4 linked regions of the Elephas maximus indicus genome follow. The protein of the gene in region 2 interacts with the protein of the main gene of each other region in a pairwise test. Links are inferred from orthologs where the notes say so. Each region holds a gene or a part of one and is shown on either strand. Other genes may lie near its edges.

Region 1 (7,080 bases), on a different chromosome or scaffold from region 2:
GAGATGTCTTTTTCCAGTTAGAGAAGGAAGGGTCTTGAGACCGAGCTAATGTTTGGGTATTACGCAGATGTCTTGGAAAGATGTGAGACACGAGATGGTGACAAAGAAGAGCCTGGCTCCTGAGGTGGCTGATAGAATTGGGGATTACGTCCAACGTCATGGTAAGAACCAGGGTTTTCAGAGCTATGTGATAGAACCAGGGTAAGGGTGACATGTGTACAACTTCTGCCTCTGAAACTACTCCTTTCCAGAGATGGTGCAGAGCTCCAGAGCCTGGCCTGAATTTAATTCCCCTTTTACTGTAGCCACTTTGTGTTTTCAGATGGCAAAGGTAGAGGCAGAGGAGGCACCTGGTCATATGATCTTTTTTTAAGAAAATGAGTGGGTCTGGCTGGAGCACATTTAGGATAAATTTGGATGAAACACATTTAGATGAAAATAATAGGCCTTATTTTTCACCACATGTCTCCCCAGGTGGCGTGTCCCTGGTAGAGCAACTGTTCCAGGATTCCAGACTGTCCCAGAACAAGCAGGTCCTGGAGGGCCTGAGGGACCTGAAGCTGCTGTTTGAATACCTGACTCTTTTTGGAATTGCTGAGAAGGTAAGATGAGTTGAGAGTGGGCTTCCTGTTGAGCCCTGGGCTCCCAGGGTTCTAAGTCTTGTCTGAGATTGATGATAGTTTTGTCCCCACAGATCTCTTTTGACTTAAGCCTGGCCCGGGGCCTGGACTACTATACAGGAGTGATCTATGAAGCAGTTTTTCTACAGACCCCAAATCAGGCTGGAGAGGAGTCCTTGAGCATGGGCAGTGTGGCTGCTGGTGGGCGCTATGATGGGCTGGTGGGCATGTTTGACCCCAAGGGCCACAGGGTGCCATGTGTGGGGCTCAGCATTGGAGTGGAGCGGATCTTCTCTATTGTGGAGCAGAGAATGAAGGTAGGTCCTAGGTATGGGTGAATGGGGCCAAAGGCCTAAAAACCCCTCACGTTTCTGGAGGTGAAGTTGGATCATTTTCCTTACTACTCTTTATATCTTTTGGAGTTATTGATGCAAAGAAGTTCTTACTAGTTTTGCTATTTTTTCTTTCTTTTATTAGGTTTTTGGTGAAAAGGTACGGACCACAGAGACTCAAGTATTTGTGGCCACACCACAGAAGAATTTTCTCCAAGAACGATTGAAGCTAATTGCAGAGCTCTGGGATGCTGGGATCAAGGTATGGTGGAGCTGATATCCAGACCACCTAGGAATATGTGGAAGTTAATCCCAGTGTAATGTTTAGGCTGAAACTCCAGACCTTTTTAGTCTTCATTAGAGTGGCTTCTTAGGGTAGGAGGGCCAGCCACTTATTTCTGGCTCCCTTGGAAATACTTACTCCTATGATTTGTGTGCTGTGGTGACTTCTAAGCCTCCTACTCTGTCTTTACCTTTTTCAGGCTGAGCTACTGTACAAGAACAACCCTAAACTACTAACCCAGCTGCACTACTGTGAGAACATGGGCATTCCACTGGTGGTCATTATTGGTGAGCAAGAAATGAAGGAAGGGATCATCAAGCTCCGTTCAGTGGCCAGCAAGGAGGAGGTGAGTGGGGGCAGGCAGAGATAGATGGAATCAATGTTTCTACCTTTCCTGGATTCTTTAAGAAATACATATTTTCTGGCTGGAGAAATATCCCCAGGGTTAATAGGGATAGAGATGAATGAAGATCTACCCCAAATAACTATTGCAGCCAATGAGTATTGTCCAGGTAGGCAGAAGGACAGATGCAACCTGAATGCATACTTTGAGACTAATCAACAAAAGATATAGATGAGGTATTTGCATTTGAATCCCTTTACTCTTGAGGACATATGTTCTCCATGTCAACTTGAAGCACACGTTACTTCCTGTGGGTTGCTTAATTAGTGGGAGCAGATGCAGAGTAATATGAATCTAGAAAAGCAGTGGCTAAGGAGCTGGTATCACTTTTGAGCTTGTCACATGAGGGTTCTTTATGTTTCAGGTGACCATTAAACGGGAACATCTTGTGGCTGAAATTCAGAAGCGACTATCTGATTCTTGATCCTTGCCTGACTGTCATCTTCTGCTCTTCGTAGAAAAAGTTTCATCTAGGACTGAGTTCCCGATGGATATCACAACTGCTGTCCAGGATGGGTGACAAGCGCCTTCTGCCTTTGCTATCCTTCCTTGTTACAAAATTAATAGAAAGCCCTAAGGACTCCTGTGTCCGGTGGCTTCAAGTCATTAGTGTGAGCAGTTATTCTGCGTAGGGGCAGATGACTGATACTGTAAAGAGACATGTTCTAACTGCAGAGGCAGATGGCAGGTTTGAAGTGCCAACTGAATGCTGCCAACAGGTGCTGATATGGTTGCTGTGAGCCGAGCTCTCGGAGAGTCACCTCAGGCTGAGAGGACTGAGCAGTTGAGATCAGAACCATGATACTTAACCTTCCACTGCAGCTTCTGAAGCTGAGGCTGGTGAATTTGTCTGCAGCCAGCCCTTGGCCTGTCCAGGGAGTTTTTGGAGACAGCAAGAAGAGGCAGTGGTTGCTTTCTGCTAATGTCTGAAGACAGAGATGCTACACCACTGGATGCAAGACAGTAGCCAGATTGATCTGGTATCTAGCCCATCCATTGTTAACAACAGGGTGGGGCTGTCTGTTTAAGATCTTGAATGTCGAACTTAATAGGTGACTGACAAGATGAAAATCTGATCTTTTGAGATTTTGGAGATCATTTCCTGTGCCAGAGTCACCGCTCTGACTATTCCATGCCCCTTCATAGAACACTTTGCTGTCAAGTTGTCTGGGTAGGACAGAGTAGAGCTGTCCCACAGGATTTCCAAGAAGCGGCTGATGGATTTGAACTGCTGACCTTTTGGTTAGCAGCCAAGCTCTTAACCACTGCGCCACCAGGACTGCCCTTCCATAGGAGTAGCTGTTTTATAAGTGGTTGGATATGTTAAATAAAATATTAAATGTAGTAGTTTGAATAATTTGTTATCACGGGAATAGGCCATAGAAAATACTTGAGTATACACTGGAAAACTGGAACCTCCTTGGGATGATGTTTATTCGTTCAGTGAAGTGAGCAGCCACACTCTGTCGTATCGCTGAAAATCAACATACAGTGAGCCGTGTGCCAGAGTGCTTCACCAAAGAGTGTTGCTGATGAGTGACTTTCCCAAGTCCAATCATGTTCATTAAATTGTACTGTATAGGTTGAATGACTATAATGTTCCTAGCCGAAGGAAAAAATGAGTTAACCAAGGGGTGATAACATTGCTTCAGGAAAAAGAGATAAGGTGCAAAAAGTGCTTCCCATACATTTTTGACCTTTGCAAACACTTCAGCATAGCTTAGGGCCATAGCTCTAGTTTATGCAGGTGAATGGGGCATCTGTTGTTAGGTGGCCAGTGGGTTCTGACTCAACAGCAATCCCATGCACAACAAAAGGAAACACTGCCCCCTCGTGCGCCATCCTCACTATCCTTGCTATGTTTGAGCCCAATGTTGCAGCCACTGTGTCAATCCATCTTGTTGAGGGTCTTCCTCTTTTTCACTGACCCTTTACCAAGCATGATGTCCTCCAGGGACTGATCCCTCCTGATAATATGTCCAAAATACATGAGATGAATTCACGCCAGCCTGACTTCTAAGGACTGCTCTGGCTATACTTTTTCCAAGACAGACTTGTTTGTTTTTCTGGCAGTCCATAGTATATTCAATATTCTTTACCAACACCACCATTCTAATGGGGCATTTAGAGTCTCTGTTCTTTATCCTTAAAGATGGTTTAGAAACTCATGACAATGTGTGCAAAGTTGATTAGGTTAGATTAGAGGAACCTGTTTCTGAGCCCCAAGTTCCCTCGTTTGTAAGCAGAGGAGCCCCACTAAATCTCTTCGTAGCTCTTGCGAAAAACCACGCCAAAAAAAATGTTAGCAGGTGCCCTTACTTCCGTGTAGCTTCATGCTGCCCTTGCGCCTGCGCCGTCTCCTTGGAGCAGAGGCGGGGTCAACAAGCCTATTTTAGAAGCCCTCCAGTTCTTAGCAGCCTTAGAAAACGACACTCTAAGTTTATTGGAGAGCAAGTTTGCTTTACGCCCGAAGGCCGCTTTTTACGACATTTTCCAGCTTCCCATTCACTTCGCAGTGAAGATGGCGTCGGGCAGCGGGGTAAGTGCTCTGTGTGAGGGGGAGGTTTTGGGGCCTTCTCTGGGCGGAATAGAGACGGACTGCTGCACGGGACTGGCTATCCGACACCTCCTCGCGATCGCAGGGTCTGGGGTGCGTGAGTTCTTCCGTAAGGCCTGGGCGCAGGATCAGCGGCATCGCAGAGGTCTTGGGTTAGGGTCCCGAGGCCACCTCAGCCTCCTTTTACGGGTTCGGAGTGGCTTCTCTCTCGGAGGGTCCTGGGGCCACCTTGGCAACGAGGATCCGGTACTTTCAGTTTCTCTAGGGTTCCAGGCATGGTTAGCGACGGATCTTGAGTGCTTTTTTACCCACAGACGAAAAACTTGGACTTTCGCCGAAAGTGGGACAAAGATGAATATGAGAAGCTCGCCGAGAAGAGGCTCACGGAAGAGAGAGAAAAGAAGGATGGTGAGTGCTTGCCCAAGCAGGAGCCAGTGGTATCATAGTAGCGATGAAATCGGAGTGAGTGAGGAGTTAAAATGCGTTGCTTCTCCTCTTCTACTTTGTGTGACCTTTTGCGGAGCATAGTCCCCCTGATCCACGGTTTCTTTTGTATAAAGTGAGGGCGATGAGGTGGACTGAAGTGGTTTTTGAGATCCTTTCCAGCCCTGGTTGGTTCATTTGGTGCTTTCCTGATGTACAGAGCTTGGAATTCTTAGTAATGTCAGAGAAGAAGCTAAGTGGTGTGTATTGCTGCTGTGCATTACTGCTATCGAGGACTCCTTCTTTCCCTTGGAATTACTTCAAGAAGAGGAGAACATTTCTGACCCAGTCAAGACCCTCTGAGAACAGCGGAAATACTCATCAGGGAACCATGTGATTGTTTCAGCTAGTGCTTGGTAGTGCTGTTTTTCTTTGCCTTGTACAATGTCGAGGAGGTGGAGTTTCTCTCCTACATAAAGATCCCACTTGACAAAAAGGAATGTCTTATTTTCTTCTCTATTTCCAAATTTGTACATTTTTCTTCCATTGTATTCTCACATCATCTTGCTCCACAATCTCTTTCATTTTTTATGTAACATGTATGACGGTGCTTGGCCCATAACTGGTACTTCCTAAATGTTGGGTCCATTCCCCGCCCACTCTCCCTTTTATTTTGAAGCAGCTTGCAAAGGTTTCTTTCTGTGTTATGTTTAGAGTATCTGCCTGAGAGCATTACTGAGTGTCCTTGCTATTCTTTCAAAAGGTTGCTCTTTGTGCAAACTCCTCCCTTCAACTCAGTTAATCAATGAATAGAAAACACATTGCTTTTAGACTTACTGGCTTTAAACTGGAGAAAAGCTATAAGAAGTTGGGGATTGCTTATCACTTATTTCTCTGTTTAGGCTCTCCTTAGCTGCTGCTTCAAGGTGTCATTGTGTCCCTTGCTTCAGGAATCAAGAAATGAGTGTAGAGTTCTGAATTTTTGGTTTCATACATTTCTTTTTCTTTTCTGGTTGTGGAACTGTGATATCGAAGGGGCTCCCCTCCCCATTGTGTTCCAGGAAAACCAGTGCAGCCCGTCAAGCGGGAGCTTCTGCGGCACAGGGACTACAAGGTGGACCTGGAATCTAAGCTTGGAAAGACAATTGTCATTACCAAGACCACCCCGCAATCTGAGATGGGAGGGTGAGTTGCTGGTCGTCTTTTTCAGCAGCCAACAGTGGATCTAATAAACTATATTGGTTTTAGGAAGTGCTAGAACGGCCCCTGGCCTGCAGATAACAACCTGTTTGCCTGTAATTCCATTCTTAGATTTGTTTTTCTTTTAGTCTTCCAAGTTAACACGATCACGTCTCTAGGAGGGGTCACTCCATAGGCTTTGACATATTAGCACAGTAAATACTTCTTAATATCTTAAAAGAGATTATTTGTTCTCCTGCCAGAGAAAGAAATGAAGGAAACTACTGAAGAGATTTTTAGAGAGAAATTAGCTAGAGCTAGAATGGAGCCTAGGAGCTCTAGTGGTGAAGTGGTTAAGCACTTCACTGCTAACAGAAAGGTCAGCAGTTAGAACCCACCAGCTGTTTTGTGGGAGAAAGTTGTGGCAGCCTGCTACCATAAAGATTTATGGCCTTGGAAACCCTATGGGGCAGTTCTGCTTTGTCCTACTGGGTCTCTCTGAGTCAGAATTGACTGGGCAGCAGTGGGTAGCATGGAGCCTAGGAGCTGCTGATGGTGAAGAAGGGGGTTGGTATTCCAGACAGGCCACAAAGGCTGTATTCCTTATGGATTGCCTGGTTGTGCACCTTCCTCCCAGACCAAGACTATAACTTATAAGAAGGATCCCACAAGAGCTCTTCACCTTTCTCCCCATCCCTACTACTGCATCCAGTTTTTTAAGTTTTCTAGCAGGAAGGCAACACAGATAGTAATTAATGACGTGTTTAGTAAACTCCCTGTTGTCATTCCTCTCTCTATTAGTTACCTATTGATATGTAACAAATTGCCCCAAAAGGTAGCAGTTTAAACAGCATACAGCTCCCAAATTTCTATGGGTAAGTAATCTGGAAGTGGTTTAGGTAGGTGGTTTTGGCTTAATCTGTCTCAAAGCTGCAGTCAAAAGCGTTGGCTGGGACTACAGTCGTCTGAGGCTTAAATGGGATCGGAGGACCGGCTTCTAAGCTGTGTCGTATGACTGCTGGTTGGAGGCCTCAGTTCTTCACTTTATTAGCTTCTCCATAGGGCTGCTTACAACAAGGCAGCTGACTTTACCAGAGCACATGATCCAGGAGGGAGGGACAGATGGATGGACTAAGACAGAAGTGATGGTCTTTTATCACCTCGTCTTAAAAAGTGACACACCATCACTTTTTCCACTTCCTGTTGGTCTCAAGACCAACCCCGGTGCAATATGGGAGAGGAATACTCAAGTTTGTGGATACCAGGAGGCGGGGGCTGTCTTG
Region 2 (7,334 bases):
AAGATCTGGAAAGTTGAATGGCTATGCCCTGGAAGGTGAATAGGTATCTTATTTGGAAGAGTACAACTTTAAGAATAAAATACACTAAGTTCTGACAGAACAGGAAGGGTTGGTGGGATAGCTACAAGATAACTTAGATCCTAGATCTGACATTTGCGGCTCTATCTTTCTTAGAAGAGAATCAAAACAGTAGGACCCAATTCTTAAAGAGGAAAAACGGACCTCCCTAAGTTTATAGCTCTAGAAAAAGTGTAAATACTCCCTGACCCACACAAAAGTTTGCTGAGTCATGAATATTAAATCAGTAGCAAGGTCAAAATGGATAAGCATCTATATGGCACTGAGAACTGAGGAAAGATTAGTCTGAATTTAGGGATTTATTGTTTTTAACTGAGGCCTTGGGGCAACAAATGCTAAAGTAGCCACATCACCTGACTTCTAGCTCAAGTCCAAATTCTACTCTCTAAATCAAAGTATCCTGTCCCTAATTCACTCAAAAAGCCTGTCATTCCCATAGCCCACAGAAGAAGTGGGAAAGATCCAGAGACAGACTCTCTGTTGAACACTTGTATGTGGAAAGTGAAATATCTCCCTTTCCAACAATGTCATACAGTTAATTTGAACTGGATACTCAATCTTTCCCAGCTGTGCTTGGCTCCCACGCTTCCTAGAACAGAAACAGACATCACAGCTTCATCTCAGACTCAATTTAAGAATCACCTTTCTTGGAACCCAGAAAGGACCCAGATGAATGACTAGGGGAAGTGAGGCTAACATCTAATGAGGAAGGGTATTTCGGCAACGGTAATATGAATTCGGGGGAAAGAATATAAGAGGCAAGTATGCTCTATCAGAACCAGACAGAAATGAGAGACTTTCTGCCAAGGAAAACAGAAACGCTATTACAGGGGCAGGCTTGAAGAAAATGTCCCAAGAGTAGGCAAGTATGGAGAAAAAGATGACAGAAGAGATCAGCTGGAGCTTCCTTCCGCTGGCTAGGAATAAGGTGGTTCCTGAGGATAACGGAGGAGTATAGAAATGTTACAATAAAAGTCAAAAAAGTGAATTGAGAAAGTTAAGATAGACAAATAGGGGTACCCACAGTTACTGGATATAAAGAAATCTGGTGAAGGGAGTAAGGCAGAAATGGATAGGCATTTAGAGTGGGGACGTAATGAGTACACTGAACCTATCAATTGAAGTTGGGGCAGAAACCATCCACTCCAAGGGCAAATATGAGACCCTTTCCAGTTATAGTGAGATATGACTTCACAGAGGAGTTGGAGAAAGTCATTTCCAAGGGCATGAAGGTATAGATGTCTACTGTGGGAGAAAAGATTTGAGGGAAAGTGGAGCAAAAGAGGCTCTTTTCACTACAAGCGATGTCCTGAGAAGATATCTCTTCCCAGCTCTTCAGGGCGACATGAAAGATACAGACAGGAATCAGGGAAGTCTCTAGACAATCCCAGGCGTAAGGTCCAGAGAGGTTCAGAATAACAATGGTTACACAAAGAAAAATTCTTGGGAAGCAAAAAGGGTCTCCCTCTGGCTTAGTCTAAATGGGAAAAACTGAAAATTCAGAACTTCTGTGGAATCAAACTCTGGAAGAGGGGGAGTGGACTGAAATAAGCAAGGGTCTTTGAAAGCTAGTCCCCTTCTCCTTCCCAAAAAGACTGCTGTCAGATTCTCAAATTAGGAGAGCTGGCCAAAAGTCTTCTAAAAGTGGAAATCTTTAAGAAGAGGATAAACAGAAGGGACCCTTTTAGTGTTCATGAAGATGGAAAAACTACGGATGATCTAAACATACGTAAGGTCAAAGTGAAATAACTAATGCAAGTTAATTCCTGGTAGAAGAGTAGACCAACTGGCCCTAAGATAAATGGGTGGGGTGAGAGGCCTGGGAAAAGATGCCACCTTATGGCTGGGGGGCAACTGGATTGGAATAATCCAGAGTTCCTGAGGTCAAAGATGCCAAATACCATAAATGAATTTTGACCGTTTCTCCTCAGGCTGGCAACAGGAATACAAGGTGAAAATGGGTTGGGTTTCCCAGAGCCAGTGGGCAGAGGTCTCTCAGAGGAAGATGAAACGATCTAATATGGGACAGCCTTCCCATGGGGGAAGGAGGGAGAAGAAAGAGAATTCTACATGTGCTCAGGCTGTGGAGAAATGCTATTCTAAGGTCTGTCTTCTACTGTGAAACAGAAAAAGTCAATAAGCTGGGTAAACGGAGTTGTTTTCTGGGGGGAGGAGAGAGACACAAATTCAGACACAACAATGCCCTGACAGTCATTCTCTCTGACATGAGATAAAAAGCGGGTGTGATAGAGGGTCAAAAACAAGAGGAAGAGGGTTAACTCCCAGAGGTCTCCCCCTGAGAGCTGAGGGTGGGAGCGTGAGTCTAAGGTTCTAGGGGTCAGGACTCGGCTCCAGAGCTCGATCCCGCCCTGCTCTTCCCTGCTCTGGCTGGGGGAGGGGGTACAGGCAGGTGTCCCCGATCGGCGCGCCGCCTCACCTTGTAGAAGGCCCCGTTGGAGCCACGCACCTCGACGGGCAGTCCCGGCTCCACATCCCCCCCAGAGGCCAGGCCGCCCATGGCGCCGCCACCGCCTCCGACTGCCCCGGCGGCGGCTGCAGCAGTGGTCTGAGTCCGGGCCGGGCCGGGCCCCCGGCGTCTCCCCGGAGGAGGAGCCGGAGGGGGAGCCGCGGGGGGCGGGAGCCGGGCCGGCCCCACGGCGGCCCTGCCACAGCCAACGAGCAGGGGGCCGGGGCCGGGCCGCTCCCCGTCCGCCGCCGCCGCCTTGGTCTCCGCCACCGTGAGGGAAACGGCTGCCGCCGCCGCCGCCGCCGCTGCCTTCGTCACCTCAGCTTCCGCCCGCCGCCGCCCCCGCTGCCGCCTCAGTCCCGGGACCCGCTGTTGCCGCTGCCGCTCCACGGCCTCCACCTCCCTCTGCCGCCGCCGCCTACTGCGCAGGCGCACCGGGCACCCGCCCGCCGCGCGCGGGGCCGGGAGGGCCACGGCGCAGGCGTCAAGGCTGGCGACCCCGCTCGCGCTCGCCAGCGCATCGGGACTTCCACACTCCCTTTCACTCTCTCACGCCCCCTCCTGGTCGCTGACTTACGCTTGCGCAGAACGAGTTAAGCGTTCTTCACTGTCCCCGCCCCCCTCTCTTCCACACTCCATCTCTTCCTTTCCCCGCCCCACAACACTGAGAGCTAGCCAATCATGGGAAGGGAGGGACCAAGCTCACTCAGTCGGATTGGATTTCTGCTGGTTCTGGTCATACCACAGCCGCTTCACCACTAGGAGCCCCACTTGGCTTGGCTATGTTAGAGTTGGGCATGCGCCTGAATGACTGCTTGGTCATTTTCCCCACCTTTTGTCTTTCTTGGTGCGCACGCTCCAAAGGAAGAAAAAAAAAAAAAAAAAAAAAATGGGTCGGAATGCCAAAAAGTGCCTGATGCGCGTGCGCTGTCCACAAGCGTGTTTTGAATTTCTTTTACGCTCCTACAACTTTGTGCTATAGGAGACTTAAGAGTTACGGTTCTTGCCTTGAGAATACAAGGAGATCCTGGTCATGCATATAATGAAAGATTACAGAATAATTTCAGGGCAACACTGGGAAATGGAACTTAGATTGGCACAAAATCTTATATCTAAATGCTGAGAAAATTCAAAATAGGAAGAATTGCCGGGGAGTAAGGGTTTTTTTTTTTAAGGGTAGAATGAGGAAAACTTCGGATTCTTGAGCTGAGACAAGTGAGAAATTTAGGTAGAAGTGAGTTAAAGAGCACAGAAATTAGAGTCGTGCGTTGTGCACTTCATTATTTAGTGAACATTTATTTAGCCCCCACTGGGCAGTTCTACTCTATCTTATAGGGTCGCTATGGGTCCGAATTGACTCCATGGCAACGGGTTTTTCCTTTTTTTTTTAATGTATTGGAGCCCTGGTGGCACAGTGGTTAAGAGCTCGGCTGCTAACCAAGAGGTCTGCGGTTTGAATCCACCAGCCGCTCCTTGGAGACCCTATAGGGCAGTTCTACTCTGTCCTATAGGGTCACTATGAGTCGGAATCCACTGGACGGCAACAGGTGGTGTGGGTAAGTTTGGTTTAAGGTGGTGCTGTGGCTAAGCTTTCTACTGCTAACCAAAAGAGCAGTGGTTCAAACCCATCAGCCGCTCTGCAGGAGAAAGATGTGACAGTCTGCTTCAGTGAAGATTACAGTCTTGGAAATCCTATCCGGCAGTTCTACTTTGTCCTATGGTTGCTATTTGTCAGAATTGACTCAATGGCAACGGGTTTTGGGTTTTGGATGTTCAGTCTGTGCTCAGACTAAGCTAAAGGTTGATGATTCAAGCCCACCCAGCAGTACCACGGAAGAAACAGCCTGGCGAACGGCTTCTGCAAAAATTACAAAAGATAAAAAATTGCCAGTGAGTCAATTCTGACTCATAGCGAGCCCCAAGGGATATCCAAGGCTGTAGATCTTTACCAAAGCAAACTGCCACATCTTTCTCCCGCAAAACAGCTGGTGGGTTCAAACCACTGACCTTTCCCTTAGCAGCTGAGCATTTTAACCACTGTGCCACCAGGGCTCCCGTTACAGCTCTCTATCTCTGTCTCCTGGATCTAGGAGGTTCTCAGTGCAGCGGTCCCAGGTCCAAAGAACACACTCTACTCCTGGCTCTTCTTTCTTGGTGGTGGTGAGATGCTTCCTTCCCACCTCTGGGATGGCTCATTTTAAGCCTGGCAAAACTGACCAATCCCCTTGTTAGGTTTCCATACACCTTATTTGCATGGCCCCACCCACCACAAGGGTGCCATGCACCTGACTTAGTTATTAGCAAGCTATCCAATCCCCTTGGTGGGCCACAAGCACCTCATTTGTCCTCACCCAGTAATTTGGTGAGAGTTACAAAGACTATGGCTCCTCAAACTGATTCTTATCAATAGTGACCCTGTAGGACAGAGTAGAACTTCCCCATAGGGTTTCCAAGGCCATAAATCTTTCCAGAAACAGATTGCTACATCTTTCTCTTGTGGAGTGACTGGCGGGTTCAAACTGCCAACTTTTAGCAGCCTTGTGCTTTAACCACGGCACCACCAGGGCTCCTTCGGACTGTGGCTAGAAGGGCCATATTAAGTAATTCACTGCGCTGCAGACAAATATTTAAACAAATGCACAGAATGTGATTGAAGATGTGATAGAGATGAGGACTAGGTATAGAGGGAAGCCCCAGGAGACAATGGTCAGTTGTTCTTAAGAGTTGTCAGGGCAGACCACACAGAGGAGGTGATGCAAATTGAGATTCGAGGCATGAGTAGGAGTTTGCTAGAGGAAAAGTGTGTTAAGGGTATTCTTGACAGAATAAAGAATACAATGTGCAGAGGAGCAGAAAGAGCTTGTCCTTCAAGTAGCTTAAACTAGCATTTGGCGTGAAGTAGGGAACTGCAGGAAGCTATGCTGTAAAGGACTTGTAAGTCAGATTAAGGAGAACAGCTTTTATTTTATCAATAATGGTAGCCATTGAAAGAATTTAGGCGGTAGCATCAGGGCCGATTATCCAATAAGCAAGGTAAGCATGGTGCTTACCTTACCGACCAGATCATCTGTAGTGAACAATCTCACATGGGTTTCTCCACATTTGAATCTCATGTGAGATTGTTCACTATAGATTAGTAAGCAAGCACAAGTAAGCCCGTGCTTACCTTGCTTACTGGGTTATGCACCCCTGTCAGGGATTGTAATTTAAAAAGAGGCTTTGATTCTGTACAAAGTGCTGTGGGGTTGGGAGACAGATGCCAGCCATACCTAAAAGCAGACTCTTTGATGTGGCGAAAAAATGTAAAATTGTTCACTAAAGACGATCTGGTAAGGAAAGCAACACCATGCTTACCTTGTGTAGTCCACCCCTGAGTAGCATTATATGATAAGATTTGCATTTTACAACTGTGGTGAATGAATTGAAGTGTAAAGGTGGTCCTGAAAGCCCTGAGACCTGGAAGGAGCTGTTGCCAGTAAGAGTGATGAAGAAGACCTACCTGGATTAGGGCTATGGGCAACAGAGGTACAGGCTGTTAGGTACAACCTGTTAGATTTGAGGTAGAATCAACAAGAATTGGTGATGGAAGGTGGAGTAAGGTGTGGTCAGTGAAGAAGTGGCAGGAACACAGGACGAATCTCAGATTTCTAACTTGGGTTACATGCTGAATAGTGATGCCGACCACAGAAAAGAGAACACAGAGGCATTGGTTTGGAGAAGAAGGTGATGAGTTTAATGAATTTGGCTTTGAACTCCTTAAGTTTGAGCACCTGAGGGCCATCGAGGTAGAGATGTTCCCTTACCTTCAACAAATTTCTCTTTCAGATACCAGCTTAAATATAATTTTCTTAGCCTTCCACTATTGCCCACACTAGGTTAGGTCCCCTGTTTTACACTGTCGAAACATCCTGTACTACTTTATGGCACTCGTCATGGTTGTAATGTAATAATTTGGGCATTATTTCAGTCTCGTCTTTCTTCAGCCACCACACTGTAAGCTCTATGAGATCAGAGACTGGGTTCTATGTCTATTTGTCCCCACCATTGTATACCCTGTACAGGGAATCAATGTCCTGCAGGTAGACCTGGACTAGAGAGGTAGATGTGGGAATCATCACCATATTAGTCATAAAGTTGTAGGAGAAAATTAAAGTGCTTTCAGAAAGCACGGACTTCTAAATACATTTCAAGCCCTCCAAGCTCTAGTTCAAGCCAATCTTAACCATGCTTCCTCTCCAAGTCTGTTGCAGCCACATCAGATTCTTTTCAGTACCTCAAACGCACTACATACTGCCCTCTAGGCCTTCTGCACATGCCAGGCCCCTGTCTGAAATGCTGCTCTCCTTTTTCCCCACTCCCATCCTTTACCTGAATGAACAAAGACTAGAGCAGATAGAGGAAAAGTCAAACCTGAGAGGACCATTGGTGCCAGAGGCTTGGAAGTTGGCACTTGTGAAATTTCTATAACAAAATTCAGTCACTCCTTACTGCTTAACAGTCAAACCCAAACTCTTTAGTCTGACAGCCAGCACTCTTCTCTTGATAATCTGCCCCATTTAACTTCTCTAACTCCTCCTGCTTCTTATCAGAATCACTGATGACAGTCTTCTTACCATTTCTATCACCCTAGTTTCTGCTGTTCCTCCTCAGTTGCTCTCAGAAGCACCTCTTCTTTTGCCAAGCCTTTAAATACTGGTATAGTTCAGAGTTCCAACATGGACCCTATTAATTTTTCAGTCTATACACACACACAGTTTCCAATCAGTACTTTAGTGTTCTATTTTAAATA
Region 3 (7,658 bases), on a different chromosome or scaffold from region 2:
ACACACAAAATACCTGTGGAAAACCAGGGATCCTCTCTTTCTCCTGTGTTCTTTTTCTGTCACCCATCCCCTTTTCTCTCCCTCCCTGTCTGTCTTTCTAAGATTCAGGGGTACAGAATAACTTTCAAACAACCGCTTCTACTGAAAGTACCCTTGGAAACAGAAGTTTATCTTCAGTGTTTAATTTGCTAGATTTACCTGATTTTTAAAATTGATTTTTGTCTACAAAGCTCTGGCGGCGTAGCAGTTTATGGAGCTGTCTGTGTTTCTCTTTTACTCTTTCTTTGGTTTGTCTTGCCGTGTCTGGTCATGAGTTCTTAGTTTGCTAGGTGATAATATGAAGATTCTTTTGTGTCTGAGTACTTGTGGTGAGTTGTTTTATGTAAGATTTCTGTGTGACAACTGATAATCAGGCTCTTGATCTGCTTCCTTAAATTGCTTTCTTAGAGCCCAAACCCCAGGTTTAGGGCCATAGTTTGTCATACAAAGAAACACTTTGATCACTTCTGCCCTTAACACTTGCCTCTGTTACTTAAGGAGTAGTTTTCTTAATATCGTCCAATGTTTGGTGTTATCTGCATTTTTTGTTTTGTTTTGTTTTTTAATTGTGGTTGTTCTAATGTGTGAAATTTAAGGAAAGAGCCATTAAAAAATGCTGAGCAGGGCAATGCAAGTACAGCCAAATATTAGAGTTGATGTGCAATCTTAGGTTCTTTTTAATCTGGGGTATTATAGGCAGTACTTTAAATGGGAAAGTCTTCCTGGCCTATTTTGCCCCACATTTTTGTAGTTACTCTAGGGGCTTACTTGTTTTGGCAGTGCTAAAATCAAAGGAGCTGGTTCCTCTTGTGTTCTCAATTCTTATTTAAGAAAACACCCATAATTAGCCTGTAGGTTCTATTCATATACATACATCAAAAATCAGTGAAGGTTTTTTTTTTTTTTTTTTTTTTAGCACATTTAAGTATCTTTGTTACAGAAAATTACATGAGGATAAAAACCAATGTCCTTCCATTCTGTATCTTGTTGGACTTGTAAAATGCCAGTAATTTAGAAACCCACTCCCCCATCCCTCCCTTAAATCAAGGAGGTAGAATATATTATTAACGTAAGGGTCAACTAAAGCAAGTAAATTTTGTTTTCAATATTTGGGTCGTATCAGGAAGGTTCTTCCTATGGGAAAAAACTAGCTAGCATCACAACATTTTGCAAACATTGGGGAGGGGAAATGCATGGCATTATGAAACTCTGAGGATCTATTCCAGTTTTCCTGTTTTTTTGGCCCGGATAGCAATGTCACCGTTCCTTATTTACAAAAGGGCAAATTGACTCTAATCGAGAGAAGCTTGATAGGTCCAAAAAGGTTAGTTGTACAACATGAACCACTTAAGAGTCTCCTGCTTTCCATGGGAATTTGGCTGAACTTACTAGGGAAAAATTGTTGTGCTAAGTAACATACAAAGGCCCTAAAATAGCTTGATTTTTTTTTTTTTTTTTAAAAGATGGTAAGCTTAAGGAATTGCATGTTGTTCTGAAATGCAGAATTATAGAGTGTTTTTCTTTTAAAACAGGCTGATTACATATATTGTTTTGCTGTTTTTTTTTCCGCCCCTGGCAAAGTTTGAGCTCCTATTTAAAGTTCTTTTGTCAGTTATTTTTCTGGTTTAAATTTTCCTTATATTTCCACCTGTAATGTCAGTGGCAGTGACATCATACTTGTTTACTTTTTACCCTTATAAGAGCAAATTGAGTTGAACTGAATCTTCCTTGTCCTAGTAACATTGTATAAATAAATGAAAGAAGTGGCTTCTCTGTACAAAAGGTGGTAATGCCTCCTGATGGATATAATTTTGTGATTGTATTTAAGATTAAAAGTTGAATAAATCACACCAGCTTCCTGAAAATGTTCATAATGCATCTTTTGGAAAACAAAAATACCTGCCTACTTCGTGCAGATTTGCATTAACATGGCAAAGATTGTATGAAATACCTGTTTTTCAAAAAAATAAAGGTTCAGTCTCAAAAGATGTAGCATTTAAGCTCTGAATTTATTGGTCAAAGTAGATTCTACTTTGGGACATGGGTTGCCTTTTTTTTTTTTTTTTTAAAGCAGCAATATCTTAAAAAAATTTTTTTTTACCCTCAAAGTTCTATAATTGAACAGCAGTGGAAATTTTACTTCAATGGGAAAGTTCTTAGTCTTAAGGATCAATTTGATTAAGCTTAATTTTGGCAGTACTTCATAACAATACTCCCAAAGGTCATTACTGGCATAAAAGAAGATGTGAAGTGTATATTCCCTCGGATGTGAAAGTTCTGAAGAAAAATGGCATTAAAATGCCCAACTTGTTTTGGTATTTGAAGTTGACATTTCTTGGTGCTAGATGTTACTACCACCCATCTGCCAGCTTGCCTTACTGTGGTGGCTTGCATGTTGCTATGATGCTGGGAGCTCTGCCACTGGTTATTTCAAATACCAGCAGGGTCACTCATGGTGGACAGGTTTCAGTGGATCTTACAGACTTAAGAAACTAGGAAGAAAGGCCTGGTGGTCTGCTTCCGAAAATTAGCCAATGAAAACCCTGTGGATTACAACAGAATATTGTCTTGATACAGTGCTGAAAGATGAGTCCCTTGGGTTGGAAGTTCACTCAAAATACACAGTGGCAGCAACAAGGGACTCAAGCATGTTGAGCATGCTAACAATTGGGAGATAGCACAGGACTGGAGGACATTTCCTGTTGCACATGGGGTCGACTCAGTGGCGACTAACAAAAGCAACAGGATTTGTGTTAATTGCTCAGTCACGTGGCATATTTCAAAAGCTCACATCCTGTCTAGAGTACAGATACAGCTCAGAAGGAAAGCTACTGTGTAGTTTTTGTTTTTAATTAGGCCAATTCAAAGTCTTAGTGACAGACTGTATAGCAGTGCCCCTAGGCTGTGAATTTGGAAATAGGTTTGGGAACACATTCCTTGAGTAACAATACTCCTTGGAGAACCCATGCTCTTTGAGTTGTCTTTTTTTTTTTTTTTTTTCCAGCTGCCTCACTTTCACAATCTGGTTTTAAGAAAGCCTTCTTAAGCAGTACACAGGGAACTTGGGTGAAACCAGAAGCATTTGGTAGCAAAAGCGGATTTCTCAAGAAATGTCAGCTTTTAAAGCCTACTAAAAGCTCTATGTCTTCTCTGGATGTGGGTGTTGCTGAGCCTACAGTGAGATTGTGCACTCATAGTTTTTACTAATTATGTGAATTGCTGCTGATTGTTTAGGTCCTTTTGCCTTTTATCTTTCTTTTGAAGAGGTGGGGGAGGGCCTGCCCCTCAAACTCCATAGCTTTCAAATACCCCTAAATGGGGTCTGTATTTTTTTCCTCAACATCTCCCAAAGGAGAACTTACTGGGGAGTTCCTTTTCCTTGCAAAGCTTGTTTCGCAAGTGTTTTATCAGACCCAAATGCTTAATTTTTTCTCCAAGATACACAGAAAATTTCATAGCCTTTTTTCCATGAAATTCGCAATGCTCCTGCCTCTGCCTGGCTTTCTTGAGGCAGTATGTGGTCCGAACTATGTTCTTTCACCTATCTTTTTGCCTTCCTTTCTTTGAACTGTTAAGAACCTGGTAATTAATGAATATGCTTAAAAGAAAAAAAAAAGGATAAAAGTTGGAAGTTAAACACTGTGGTTAACTTACCTGAAACAACATCTGACCAGGCAACTTTTTTTTTTGGTATTGAATAATAATCAAAGCACTTGTTAATACATTTTGAAATCCTAGATAGAAAAAGACTTAAAAGTGTCTCTCATAGTTCTACTTCCTAAATTGCTTGTAAAGGGGTTTACATCTTAACATGACCTCTCGTGTAAAACCAATCCCTTTTTGGAGATGGAGCGTATAGATTCTCTAAGAAAACGCTCCACAATTTCCCCCAAAGTCCTCATGTAAATAAGCCAACTTTATAAATCGGTGCATTTTTCACGGGTTCTCAAGAGACTACGACCCCTCTCCACCACCCTTTTTTTCCCCAAGCCAAGGCCTTATCGCTAACTCGGTAGGAGAGAAAAATTGCAGCAAAATCTATGTAAATGCTTTTACTTGTCCACAAAAAAATCACGATGTGGGCACAAGTCACAAATCTGAGCTGAACTGCTCAGTGACATACCAAGGGGAAGAGAGAAGGGATTTTTAGGCGGGGCCGTGGAGGGGTACTGGTCTGATGGGCTCCGGTGCCCACCGACCGCCCTAACCACAACGAGGTTAAGGGCCACATCCCCTTCTCCGCCTGGCCCTGCACAGCAGAGGGGCTCCTTAACCGCATTGGGGCTCAGGGGAAGAGGGTGCGAGAGCTGCCCATGCGTCAATTACAGGGATACCAACGCTGAAACAAGCCCCTGGCAACGACCGTTCAACCGCTTCCTAGAGCTCAGGGTGGGCCGAGCACATTTCCTGGGCGCTGATTGGCTACTCCCTGTCCCAGCCTCCTCGGCCGCCTCAGCCTGTCTCTCCTTTGGCCTCGATTTCAAGCCATGCGCTGGGCAACGGTTGGTCCGGCTACCCTTCGGCTTGAGCTCGATCTGCCCAATGAGGAGGGAGCCTCGCGGAGGCTGTCGGGAAAGGCAGCCTGCCTATATAAGCACTTGCGGGCCGTACGCTGGCGCTGAGGTCGCCGTGAAAGCTCGGGGCGAGGTTTTTCTGGAAGGAGCCTTGAGCTGGCTTAGGCGGCACCTCAGGGACGATGGCGGAGGGCGATAATCGCAGCACCAACCTGCTGGTGAGTAGCGGCGGCCCATCGCGAGGAAACTGAGCAGGGCTTCCGGATTTCGGCGGGCCCAAACCGGCGACTGCAGCGGCCTCGTTCATGTCACTCGCGGCGGGCCCAGCTCTCAGGCGCAGGCGACGCTGCCTGCCTCTCGGGCTTCCTGGGTGGCGGTCACTGGTCGTATTGACCCCTGTCGTTAGCTGGGGAAGGTGCGCGACAGGGCGAGAAGGGCGCGTGATTTGTCTCCGCGATTGGGGGTTGGGGAGGAAATGTGAGAAAGGGGGATCGGCAGGGAAGCCGGGGTGCAGGCCGGGCGGAGGGCGCGGGGGCCCCAGGCGGATTTGGGGTTCCCCCTCTTTGGTATTACCCGGACTGGAATGTAGCTTTTTTCTCTTTCTCTAATACTTGGGACAGAGGTGGAAGGTCAAAGGGCTGCTGCCCAGTTTCTTTTAAAGCTGGCACAACTTAAAACGGCAGCGAGGCTCCGAGGTCACCGCAGGGAACTGGGAGTGGGGTCCAGCTGGAAGGACAATAGGACGATTTGGCGTTTGCCTGGACTTTGAAAGGCTGTGGGTCATAGGGCGGCTGGAGACAACTTTAGAATAAGCAGGAACCTGAAGGAACTACAGTGGGGTTGTATCCCAGGCTCACAAATTTAACTGCAAGACCTAGGCAAAAACAAGAGAGAAATCTTGGATTTTGTCCGTTACCCTACTCCCGGGAAAGGCTGGCCACACCACACAGCAAAGAAAAGAGGAACTGAAGCATTTAAATCTGTTTTTGAAACAGTCCAGGTGCTAACGAATTAAGTGACTTTGCCCCAGGCAGTTTTGATTGTGCATGATTTTCACTTTGTAGTGGTTTTTAGAAATGCATGGCCTGCCCCCTTAAAAATACAGAGCACACAACTTCTGGGCTGCCTTTTAAGAAGATTGAGGCACAAAGAACTCACACAGCTGTTGAAATGACAGATTCTGGTCTAGACCTTGGAATCCCGCACTCAACTACTCTTTTCCAGCAGAGCAGAATAACTTGTAATGTGAGCAGAGCCTTTGGCCTTGGGTTTCCTTGGTTCAAATCTGTTCATCTCTGTGTATGTATCTCAGTTTCTGCATCTGTAAAATGGGAATAATAACACCTTCCTTTTAGGGTTGTTGGAAGGATTATTTGAAGTATAAGCATATAAAATGCCTAAAGTCAGAAACATTCAGGTCACCTGAGTGAGCAATGTGGCATGAATAGCATCTTTATTGAGATTAAGCAGAACTGCCCCCTGTCATTTCCCTATTTCCTAGTGATGACATTTATAAGGATGCTTAGGTGTTCTGTTTCAATTTGTTTTTCTTTTACCAAAATCAATTTAAGGGCTTTTGCCGCATTAGCTCATCCTAGAGGTCCATTTTCAGCCAATTGCCAGATTTGCAGAGGAATTTGAAGTCTAACCAGAATGTCCTAATAAATAACAGTATTGAGGAGATATATTGAGCTTAAAATGCCACATATAATTAGGCAAAAGTAGTTTTCCTTGATTGTACAATGATGGCAACATCTACGTGATTCCATTACCCAAAAAACTATTTTAGGAGTTGAATGCTGTTCAGAGAGAGGCTTTCCTAATGCATTTCGAACTAAGGGTTTCAATCAATGAAACGACAAGAACAACAGATCAACTCTAAGCACCTGAAATGAGTGAACCTTAAGTGATCTGATTTTATAAATACTCTGGGCGCTACCACTTAGTAATGTATGAGGCTGGGAAAGTTAACATTCTGAGCTCACTTTAATTGTAAAATAGACCTAATTGTCCCTACCTCAAGGGCTCTATGTAACATGGTGTTACATCATGTATGTAAAGTAGCCCAGTGCTTGGACTTGGAATGGGACCATTAAGCGATAGGTTTTCCCCCTTTGGTTTCCTTCTGTGAAACCAAAATTACAGGGTCTTCAGAAACTAATTGTGAGGTAGCGATTTTACATATTTGGTACCTTTGAAGAATTTAACTCCCTAGGAATCACAGAAATGTTGAGATTGGTAAAGTGATCGCTTTGAATGTTGATGATATGTAGGCTGCAGAGACAGCAAGTCTGGAAGAGCAGCTGCAAGGCTGGGGAGAAGTGATGCTGATGGCCGACAAAGTCCTCCGATGGGAAAGAGCCTGGTTTCCACCTGCTATCATGGGCGTGGTTTCTTTGGTATTTCTGTAAGTGAGCTATTGCGTTACTGTGGTGTGTGCTTGCTGTTAATAAGGGCTCAGGTAATGCACAGCCTCCGTTTATGAAAGTGTTTTAAATCTTACGTATATTCTGTAGAGAATGCCATTTCTTTCTTAGAGCAGTTTGCCTAGTTTTCAGAACTTGTATTTATGTAAACTCGTAACCTAATGCAGTTAAATAAATCAGTGGCTCTCAGACTTTTTGGCCTTAAGACCCTTTATACTCTTAGAAATTGTCGAGGACCCCAGAGACCTTTTTGTCTATTGATTTTTACTGTACAGGCAGACCCTGGATTAGGAATGAGTTCCTGTCCGAAGTCAGTCTTTAAGTCAAATTTATAAGTTGGAACAGTTAGGTACAGTTTGTATCTAACTTCAGTTAGCCAAATGTTTCTGCTAGTATAGAGTACATAATGTACCTTTCTTGCGTAAAAACATTAAAGACACACTTCCAGATACACTAAAATGTCTTTAACGTAATAATACGGTAATAATAATGTTTTGATGCGTGTTGCAAAGTAGCACCTGTTTATTATTAGGAACCATTGTATGTACCTCGAATTTTTAATATAATAGGTTTTACGGGGAGAGGAGGGTTTATAGGGCTTGTAGGGGTTTGTTAAGTTGGATGTTAGTAACCCGGGGACTGCCTGTATTTGAAATTAAATTTTTTTTTTTTTTTATTA
Region 4 (6,998 bases), on a different chromosome or scaffold from region 2:
GTCCGTCTCCTTCAGAGTCTTCCTCTTTTCCGCTAACCCTGTACTTCACCAAGCATGAAGTCTTCCAGGGACTGATTCTTCCTAACAACATGTCCAAAGTATGTAAGGTGCAGTTTCACCACCCTTGCTTCTGAGGAGCATTCTGGTTGTACTTCTTTCCAGACAGATTTGTTCATTCTTTTGGCAGTCCATGGTATATTCAATATTCTTCGCCAGCACCACGATTCAAAGGCATCAATTCTTCGGTTAATTCTTCTTCGTAGGTTGGTAGTTGAGAGCAAACCATTTGCACCACTCAGCCCAGGGACCTGGTTCATAATGATGTTAGGTGCTGTAGAATCGCTTGTGACTCATAGTGACCCCAGGCAATAGAGTAGAACTGCACATAGGACTTTACTGGCTGTAATCTTTACGGAAGCAGATCACCAGGTCTTTTCTCCCCTGAGGAGCCAGCTAGTGAGTTTGACCTGCTGACCTTTCAGTTAGCAGCCAAGTTCTTAACCGTCATGTCACCAGGGCTCCTTTGGAACATAATGTTGTGTGCTGTCAATTCCCATCCTATAGGACAGAGTAGAACTGCCCCATAGGGTTTTCTTGGCTGTAATCTTTACAGAAGAAGACGGCCAACTCCTTTCTACAATAGAGAGGCTGGTGGGTTTGAACCGCCAAACTTGCGGCTAGCAGCTGAGTGATTAACCTTTTCGACACGAGTGCTCTTGTGGTATGTAATAGGTGATCAAGAATTAATTGCCGAATGATCATCACGTAATTACTGTTTTCCATCACCCTACACCCAACCCTCCAGCGTCCCCCACCCTCCCCCAAATCCAGGCAACACCACTTCCCAATCTGGCGGCACCTTTCCAGAGACCCAAAGCCAGCGCCTTTATCCAGGGCCGTCCCCCCAGCCCATCGTTTCTGTGGAGGGAACCGCTCCCAGCTGCCCTCTGGAACAAGTTGGAACTGTACCGAAGGCCCCAGGAGCTGGATCAGGATCTGGCCTCCACCAACCACTGTGTTCACTCCAGCAACTACCTCCTATCCTCAAGCCTCCCCCACTCAAGGTCAACATTTGTCTGGTTTCCTGGGGAGCCTTCTGATCTGGCTCCCTTTCCTCTAGCTAAGCCGTGACCCACAGAGGTACCCCCTCCAACTCCAGGATGCCTTGGAGATGAGTCCTGTGAGGGCCGCAGCTGGGCCCAGCAAAGAACGCCCAGAAGTCTGTCCCTAGAGGGAATGAATGAGATGAGCTAGGGCATCCTGACTCCGGCAGGCGTCCAGCTTTCGCAGCTGGCCCAGCAAGGACACGTTCGCCAGCGACTGCAGGTTCACGTAGCTCAGGCTGAGCCGCTCCAGGCGGCTCAAGTCCGCTGTGAGATCAGTCAGGTGCCGGCCCTCTGCCCGGCAGTTGTCCAGCACCAGCTCGGTCACCTGCGGGTGCCGGCTCGGTTACCCGCACGCCAGGCTGGGCGCCGGGAGGTGGAGGCTCCTTCCTGGGCGCGTCCCCGGACCCTGGGTGGAGCACCCGCAGTCCCTGCCAGCCCTGATCCCGGGCTCCGGACTCTGCGCCCCCCCCCCAGGCGGCCCCCCCTACGCGCCCCCCGGATTGGCCGCCCACGTGCTCAGACTACCCCCGGCCTCGGACTGTTCGGACCACGTGCGGCTGAGCCTGGCCCTCGGTTGCCCGGGTGTCGCCACCCCTGACCCGGGCAGCCAGCCACATGGCCCCGGGCTCCTGCGCAGGGACCGGGCGTGCCAGCTTCAGCTCTCTGCGCACTTCAGGCCCCTCGCCCCCCGCGCTAGGACACCCGAGCGTCTAAGTTCCCAGGCCTGGTCCCCTCCCCAGTCCACAGTGTTCCAGGCTGCGCCCCAGCGAAACCCCGCTCCCCAAGGCGGATCCTGCCCCCTGATAACTTCTGCTGGGTTCCGATTCCGCAGCTGCAAGTGGAGCCGCTTGTCCATGTCTGGCCTCGCGGACCCAGGCCCCAGCTCCACAGGGAAGGCGCCAAACACACAAAGGGGGGGGGATACGCCCCCTGGTGGCCGTGCTGGGACCGCGCGCCCACACCTGCTTTCCCCGGCCTGCCACACGCACCGCCCGCTGGCTCCCCTGCCCACGAGTCACCAGCTGTCAGTCCTTTCGCTGACCTTGACTGAGCATCTACTGTATGCTCTTGGCCAATAATCATTTGTTCTTTTATTCATGCATTCCCTTACCAAACATTCCGTGCGGTGCTTTTCCAACCAGCCTTTGCTGGCTGAGGCTGGAGACCCAGAGGACCCTGGCTGGGCCCTGTTTGGAAGGGGCCCTACACCTGCAAAGTGGCCTGGAGGCTCCGGAATCCCGAGGCTGTGCTCTTAATGCAGACACAGAAATGAAGGTGCTGCCAGTTCCCTTCTGAAGGGCAGAGGATGAAGGCAGAAGGCACCGTCCTCAAGACAGGCCGGCTTGCCTTCCCTGTCTGCCCCTTCTTCAAATAAGCTCATTCCCACCTCACTACTCAAAGTGTGGTCTTTGAACCAGCAGTCCCGGCATCACTGGGGGGCCTGGGGAATCAGGCCCATCGTGGAGCTGAGTCAGAATCTGCATCTTAGCAAGGTTTCTGGTGCTGCTCAATGTAGCTGCAGATTAGAATCAGCTCTGCAGGCCTAAAACATCCTCGTACCCAGGCCACAGGTGGCTGGCTGGTGCGAACAGTCAAGTGCCTATTAGCCCAAAGGTTGGCGGTTCAAACCCACCCAGAGGTGCCATGGAAGTCAGGCCCGGCCATCTGCTTCCAAAAGGTCACAGCCTTGAAACCCTATGGAATACAGTTCTACTCTGCACATATGAAGCTGCTGTGAGTCGGAATCAAATCGACAGGAACTAACAACTTAAGGCAGTATTGTGGAAGAAAGTTCTGGCAATCTGCTTTTGTAAAGCTTACAGCCAAGAAAAGCCTACAGAGCAGTTCTGCTCTGTACATGTGGGGTCGCCAAGACGTGGGATCCACTGGAAGGCAACTAACAACAGCCCAAGCCACACCCAGACCAGTTAAGTCAGAATCCATGCAGGGTTTTGTCTTGTCAACTCCTCAGGGAATTCCAATGTTCTGAACTGGAGGCTTTCCCCGTGAGGTTGCAGACCTCCAAGGACAGGCCCCTGTCAGTACCTGCCTTTATCTGGCTGGACTGGTCCTTCCCATTGCCTCCAGCTCCTCTCTGCCACCTTGTTGCCCTCTGTCACCTCTGGTTCCTCCCCTTCACACTTTCAAGAAGGGAAGTGATGGGCTGGGGTGTCCTCAGGCCCCCTCTTCCCCCCTCTCCCCCCCGTGGGCAGGGCATTTGACCACTTCCATCACCACAACCAAATCCGCCACCCTGGCCAGGTCCTGTGCCAGCTTGTCTGCCCTAGCCCTCTAGCCTCGCAGTGTGACAGGGAAGTCTGGGTCCGAGCTGGGAAGCAGCTGGTGGGGAAGCGTTGAAATGCGGAAGGTGAGTGAGGCAAGAGGGCAGGCAATAGGCCTCAGACAGCACACCCCTCCCCTCTCCCAGCTCTTGGGGGCTCCCCAGGTCTGACCATGCCTTTCTCCCACCCAGGATGCCCCATCGGAGGCTCCAGCCAGGGCTGGATTCCCCTGGGGCCTTTCTCTCTGGAGGCAGAAGGCCCCCAAGGCCTGGCACTGAGTACCCCCGGGGGAGAGGGCAACAGAGAGTTAACAAGCTAGGGCCCCTGTTGGGCATGGATACTGCCCAGCACCTGAAGCTCAGGGACAGCAGCAGCAGGTGGGACAGGAACTCAAGGGGGACAGAGGTACCTGCAGGATCTAAGGACAGGCTGGGGTAGTCCCCGCCTCCTTTCCTTCCTCCTCTGCCTTCCACCAGCAGCCCCCACCCCTGAGAGCTGGCCAGAGCAGAAGCCACAGTCATTTCCTGAAGGCAGCAGCCCGGCGCGGGTCCCACGCGCCCCAGCCCGTCACCTGCCTGCAGCCATGGTGAGTCCCCAACCCCGGGAGAGCCCCATACCTGAGGTAGCGAAGGAGGAGCAATGGGTAGTAGTGGGCACATTGTAGGAGTGGAGAGCCTAGGAGTGGGGCTGAGACCCGGAAAGGGCCCTAAGGTAGGAAGCAGCTGGGCGCAGCTCCAGGGCAGCTCGGGCTCTGAGGGCAGGCCAGGCTGGGCTGTGACTGCAAGGGGGACAGGTGGGACAGCCCAGGACCACTCCCCACCTCCCAGGTCAGCATGAGCAGCAACCTGGTCACGGGAGGCCGGGATGAGAGTAGGGACTTCCTGTGGCGTGACAAAGTGGGTCATACATCATCACCTCCCATCCCCATCTCCCTTTCACCTGAATCATGACCTGCTGATCCTGATTTATCAGGCCTTGTGGTCACTTGGGAACCCTGGACTCAGCCAGCCCAGCTGGGGGCTTGACCAGAGACGGTTCAGGCCCCTGGCGGGGGTCCTCGTCTTTCCAAGGGGTGATCCGGACCCCCTGGCTCTCCCGACAGGGAGAGTGAGGCAAAGGTCAGGCCAGTCCTTCCCTCTTCCCGCTTGTTGCCTCCTCCTCCCCCAACCTTACTGACCCCCAGAAAGCCAGGCTCAGGGGTCTGATGCAGGGCCACCTGGGGGGAATTTATAGGTCAGAAAGGGCCTGCCCTACTTGGGCGCCTGCCCGTGCCTGTCGCCAGGAGCCTTCCGCAGCATTGTGGGCTCGTGCAGCGCCAGGGAGGGTGCCTGAGGTGGACTGTTTGCCGCTGCTGCCTGGTGTCTGTGACGTGTGCCTGTGCTTAGCCCAGGTCCGTGTGTCCCTCCACACATGTCCACGTGGGTCTGTAACAGACTGTACATGGTTGAGACGATACCTTTGTGCTTCTCTGTGTATTTTCATTTAACAGACATTTACTGAGCACCTACTTCGTGACAGGCACTGCGAAGATGACAGCCCTGGCGGCACTTACATTCTTCCAGGGGCGGAGGGTGGGGGTAGAGGCAAAAAAACAAACAAAACAAAAACTGTCAGGACACATAAAAAATGTGTGCGTGTGTGTCCGTGTATGTATAAAAGGCATGACACACGGTGGCAGCTGCTAAGGGAAAAATCACGTAGGTAGTACAGAAACAAAAAGAACAGCTGCTGGCACGTCAGCTCCAACTCACAGCGACCCCATGTGTGTCAGAGTAGAACACTGCTCCATAGGCCCTTTCCACAAGTAGATTGTCAGGTCTTTCTTCTGAGGTGCCTCTGGGAGGACGTGAACCACCCACCTTTTGGTTAGCAGACAAGCAGGTTAACTGTTTACACCACCCAGAAACGGCTGCCTTCGAGTGAACTCCGACTCATGGCGACCCCGTGTCAGAGCAGAACTGTGCGCCCTGGGGTTTCCAGTGGCTGATCTTCCGGAAGCAGGTCAATGAGCCTTTCTTCTGGGGTGCCTCTGGGTGGATGTGAACCACCAACCTTTCGGTTGGTAGCTGAGAATTGAACTGTTTGCGCCATTCAGGGAACTCAGTACTGGGGAAGGGGAACCAATTTACAATATGGCGCTCCGGGAAAACCTCTCTAATAAGCAAATACTGGAGGAGGAAGAGGAAAGAGCCACGTGGTGGAGAAGAGTGTCCCAGGAGAGGGGAAGGGCAAGTTCGAAGGCCCCAAGATGGGAGGGAAGGTAGTTCAAGGAGCAACAAGGGGAGTGGAAGGAGGCAGTGGGGAAGGAGGTGGCCCTGGGACTCGACGAGGGGCTTCAAGGGCACTTGGGACAGAGCCAGGGCCTTGCCGAGGCCTCTGGCGTTTAGTGGGCACTCGAGGAACCGCAGCAGGATTGGAGCAGCGGGAGCTGGGGCCTAACGGGCGTCCTGTGGCTGCTGTGGAGGGTGGGGAGGGGAACTGACGGAGGTGGTGAGGGAAGGGTGGGGGCCTGGAGGAGCCTGTTATAATCCAGGAATGGAGGCAGGGTCCTTGGGCCTGGTGACAGTGGTGAGGCTGTGAGATGTGTTTGGATTCCAGATGGTATTTGGAAGTTGGAACAGAAGGAACTGGAGAAACGGGGTATGAGAGGAGGAGGGCGTCAGGGATACCGGGAAGACACCATCACTGAGAGAGGACTGTGGGGGCAGCAGGCTGGGGAAACCAGGCAATCGGGCGCTCAGGTCCTGCTGGTGAGTGGGGGTGAGGGAGGGCATAGTTACAGGAGCCTGGAGCTCAGAGAGTCATCCTTGGGTGCTGCAAATGGTTAAGCAGCTGCTAGCTGAAAGGTTGGCAGTTTGAACCCACTCAAGGTGTCTCAGAAGAAAGGCCTGGCAATCTGCTTCCAAAAGGTCACCCCTGAAAACCCTTTGGAGCAGCTCTACTCTGCACACATGGGATTGCCATGAGTTGGAATGACTCGACGACAGCTGGTTGGGTTTTATTTTGTTTTGGGCTCAGGGGGAGGCTGAAGAAAAAAATATGGGGGATCCTTGAAAGAGAAAGGCATGAGGGCTGAGGCCAGGGAAGAGAAGCCTGGGGATGGTGATGGTGGTGCGTGTCTATGACATTGTCTATGTGTGTCCCCACGACCCTCTGTATCAGAGTCACCGCCTGACTGGCTCCGTGTCCCATAGGAGGGCCATCAGGACTTCCGGAGCCTCCAAGCAAAGTTCCAGGCCTCTCAGCCCGAGCCCAGTGAACTCCCCAAGAAACCTCCGAAGCTTGAGTTCAACAAACTGCCCAAGTTTCCACAGCCTGTGCCAGGCGAGCACCCCAAGAAGGCCTCACAGCCCGAATTCACTGATCACCCCAGGAAGCCCTCGCAGCCTGAGTTCAGTGCGGGCCCTAAGAAGGCCTCGCAGCCTGAGTTCCCTGATCACCCCAAGAAGCCCTCGCAGCCCGAGTTCAGTGCAGGCCCCAAGAAGGCCTCACAGCCTGAGTTCACCGATTACCCCAGGAAGCCCTTGAAGCCCGAGTTCATTGCGGGCCCTAAAAAGGCCTCGCAGGCCGAGTTCACTGATCACCCCAGGAAGCCCTTGCAGCCAGAGTT

Evidence for each region.
Region 1: the proteins of FXR2 (region 2) and ZMAT2 interact in binary tests that used the Homo sapiens proteins (3 or more experiments, as listed by UniProt). The two-hybrid records come from large-scale screens. The link is inferred for Elephas maximus indicus from reciprocal best matches to the Homo sapiens genes FXR2 and ZMAT2.
Region 3: the proteins of FXR2 (region 2) and ARL6IP1 interact in binary tests that used the Homo sapiens proteins (3 or more experiments, as listed by UniProt). The two-hybrid records come from large-scale screens. The link is inferred for Elephas maximus indicus from reciprocal best matches to the Homo sapiens genes FXR2 and ARL6IP1.
Region 4: the proteins of FXR2 (region 2) and PRAM1 interact in binary tests that used the Homo sapiens proteins (3 or more experiments, as listed by UniProt). The two-hybrid records come from large-scale screens. The link is inferred for Elephas maximus indicus from reciprocal best matches to the Homo sapiens genes FXR2 and PRAM1.

The regions. Positions count from the first base shown.
Region 1 is NC_064820.1:153,927,627-153,934,706, forward strand, and holds the start of ZMAT2 (zinc finger matrin-type protein 2), read left to right. Parts: upstream 1-4,068; 5' UTR 4,069-4,159; coding exon 4,160-4,177; intron 4,178-4,509; coding exon 4,510-4,603; intron 4,604-5,679; coding exon 5,680-5,803; intron 5,804-7,080. Other genes in the region: histidine--tRNA ligase, mitochondrial, read left to right, coding at 68-161, 475-602, 695-937, 1,098-1,214, 1,435-1,581, 2,003-2,062. UniProt on the Homo sapiens protein: Involved in pre-mRNA splicing as a component of the spliceosome.
Region 2 is NC_064837.1:13,168,355-13,175,688, reverse strand, and holds the start of FXR2 (RNA-binding protein FXR2), read right to left. Parts: upstream 3,013-7,334; 5' UTR 2,597-3,012; coding exon 2,516-2,596; intron 1-2,515. UniProt on the Homo sapiens protein: mRNA-binding protein that acts as a regulator of mRNAs translation and/or stability, and which is required for adult hippocampal neurogenesis. Specifically binds to AU-rich elements (AREs) in the 3'-UTR of target mRNAs.
Region 3 is NC_064830.1:78,618,500-78,626,157, reverse strand, and holds the start of ARL6IP1 (ADP-ribosylation factor-like protein 6-interacting protein 1), read left to right. Parts: upstream 1-4,648; 5' UTR 4,649-4,735; coding exon 4,736-4,771; intron 4,772-6,826; coding exon 6,827-6,960; intron 6,961-7,658. UniProt on the Homo sapiens protein: Positively regulates SLC1A1/EAAC1-mediated glutamate transport by increasing its affinity for glutamate in a PKC activity-dependent manner.
Region 4 is NC_064821.1:13,197,449-13,204,446, reverse strand, and holds the start of PRAM1 (PML-RARA-regulated adapter molecule 1), read left to right. Parts: upstream 1-3,998; 5' UTR 3,999-4,252; coding exon 4,253-4,506; intron 4,507-5,291; coding exon 5,292-5,389; intron 5,390-5,986; coding exon 5,987-6,138; intron 6,139-6,582; coding exon 6,583-6,998. UniProt on the Homo sapiens protein: May be involved in myeloid differentiation. May be involved in integrin signaling in neutrophils. Binds to PtdIns(4)P.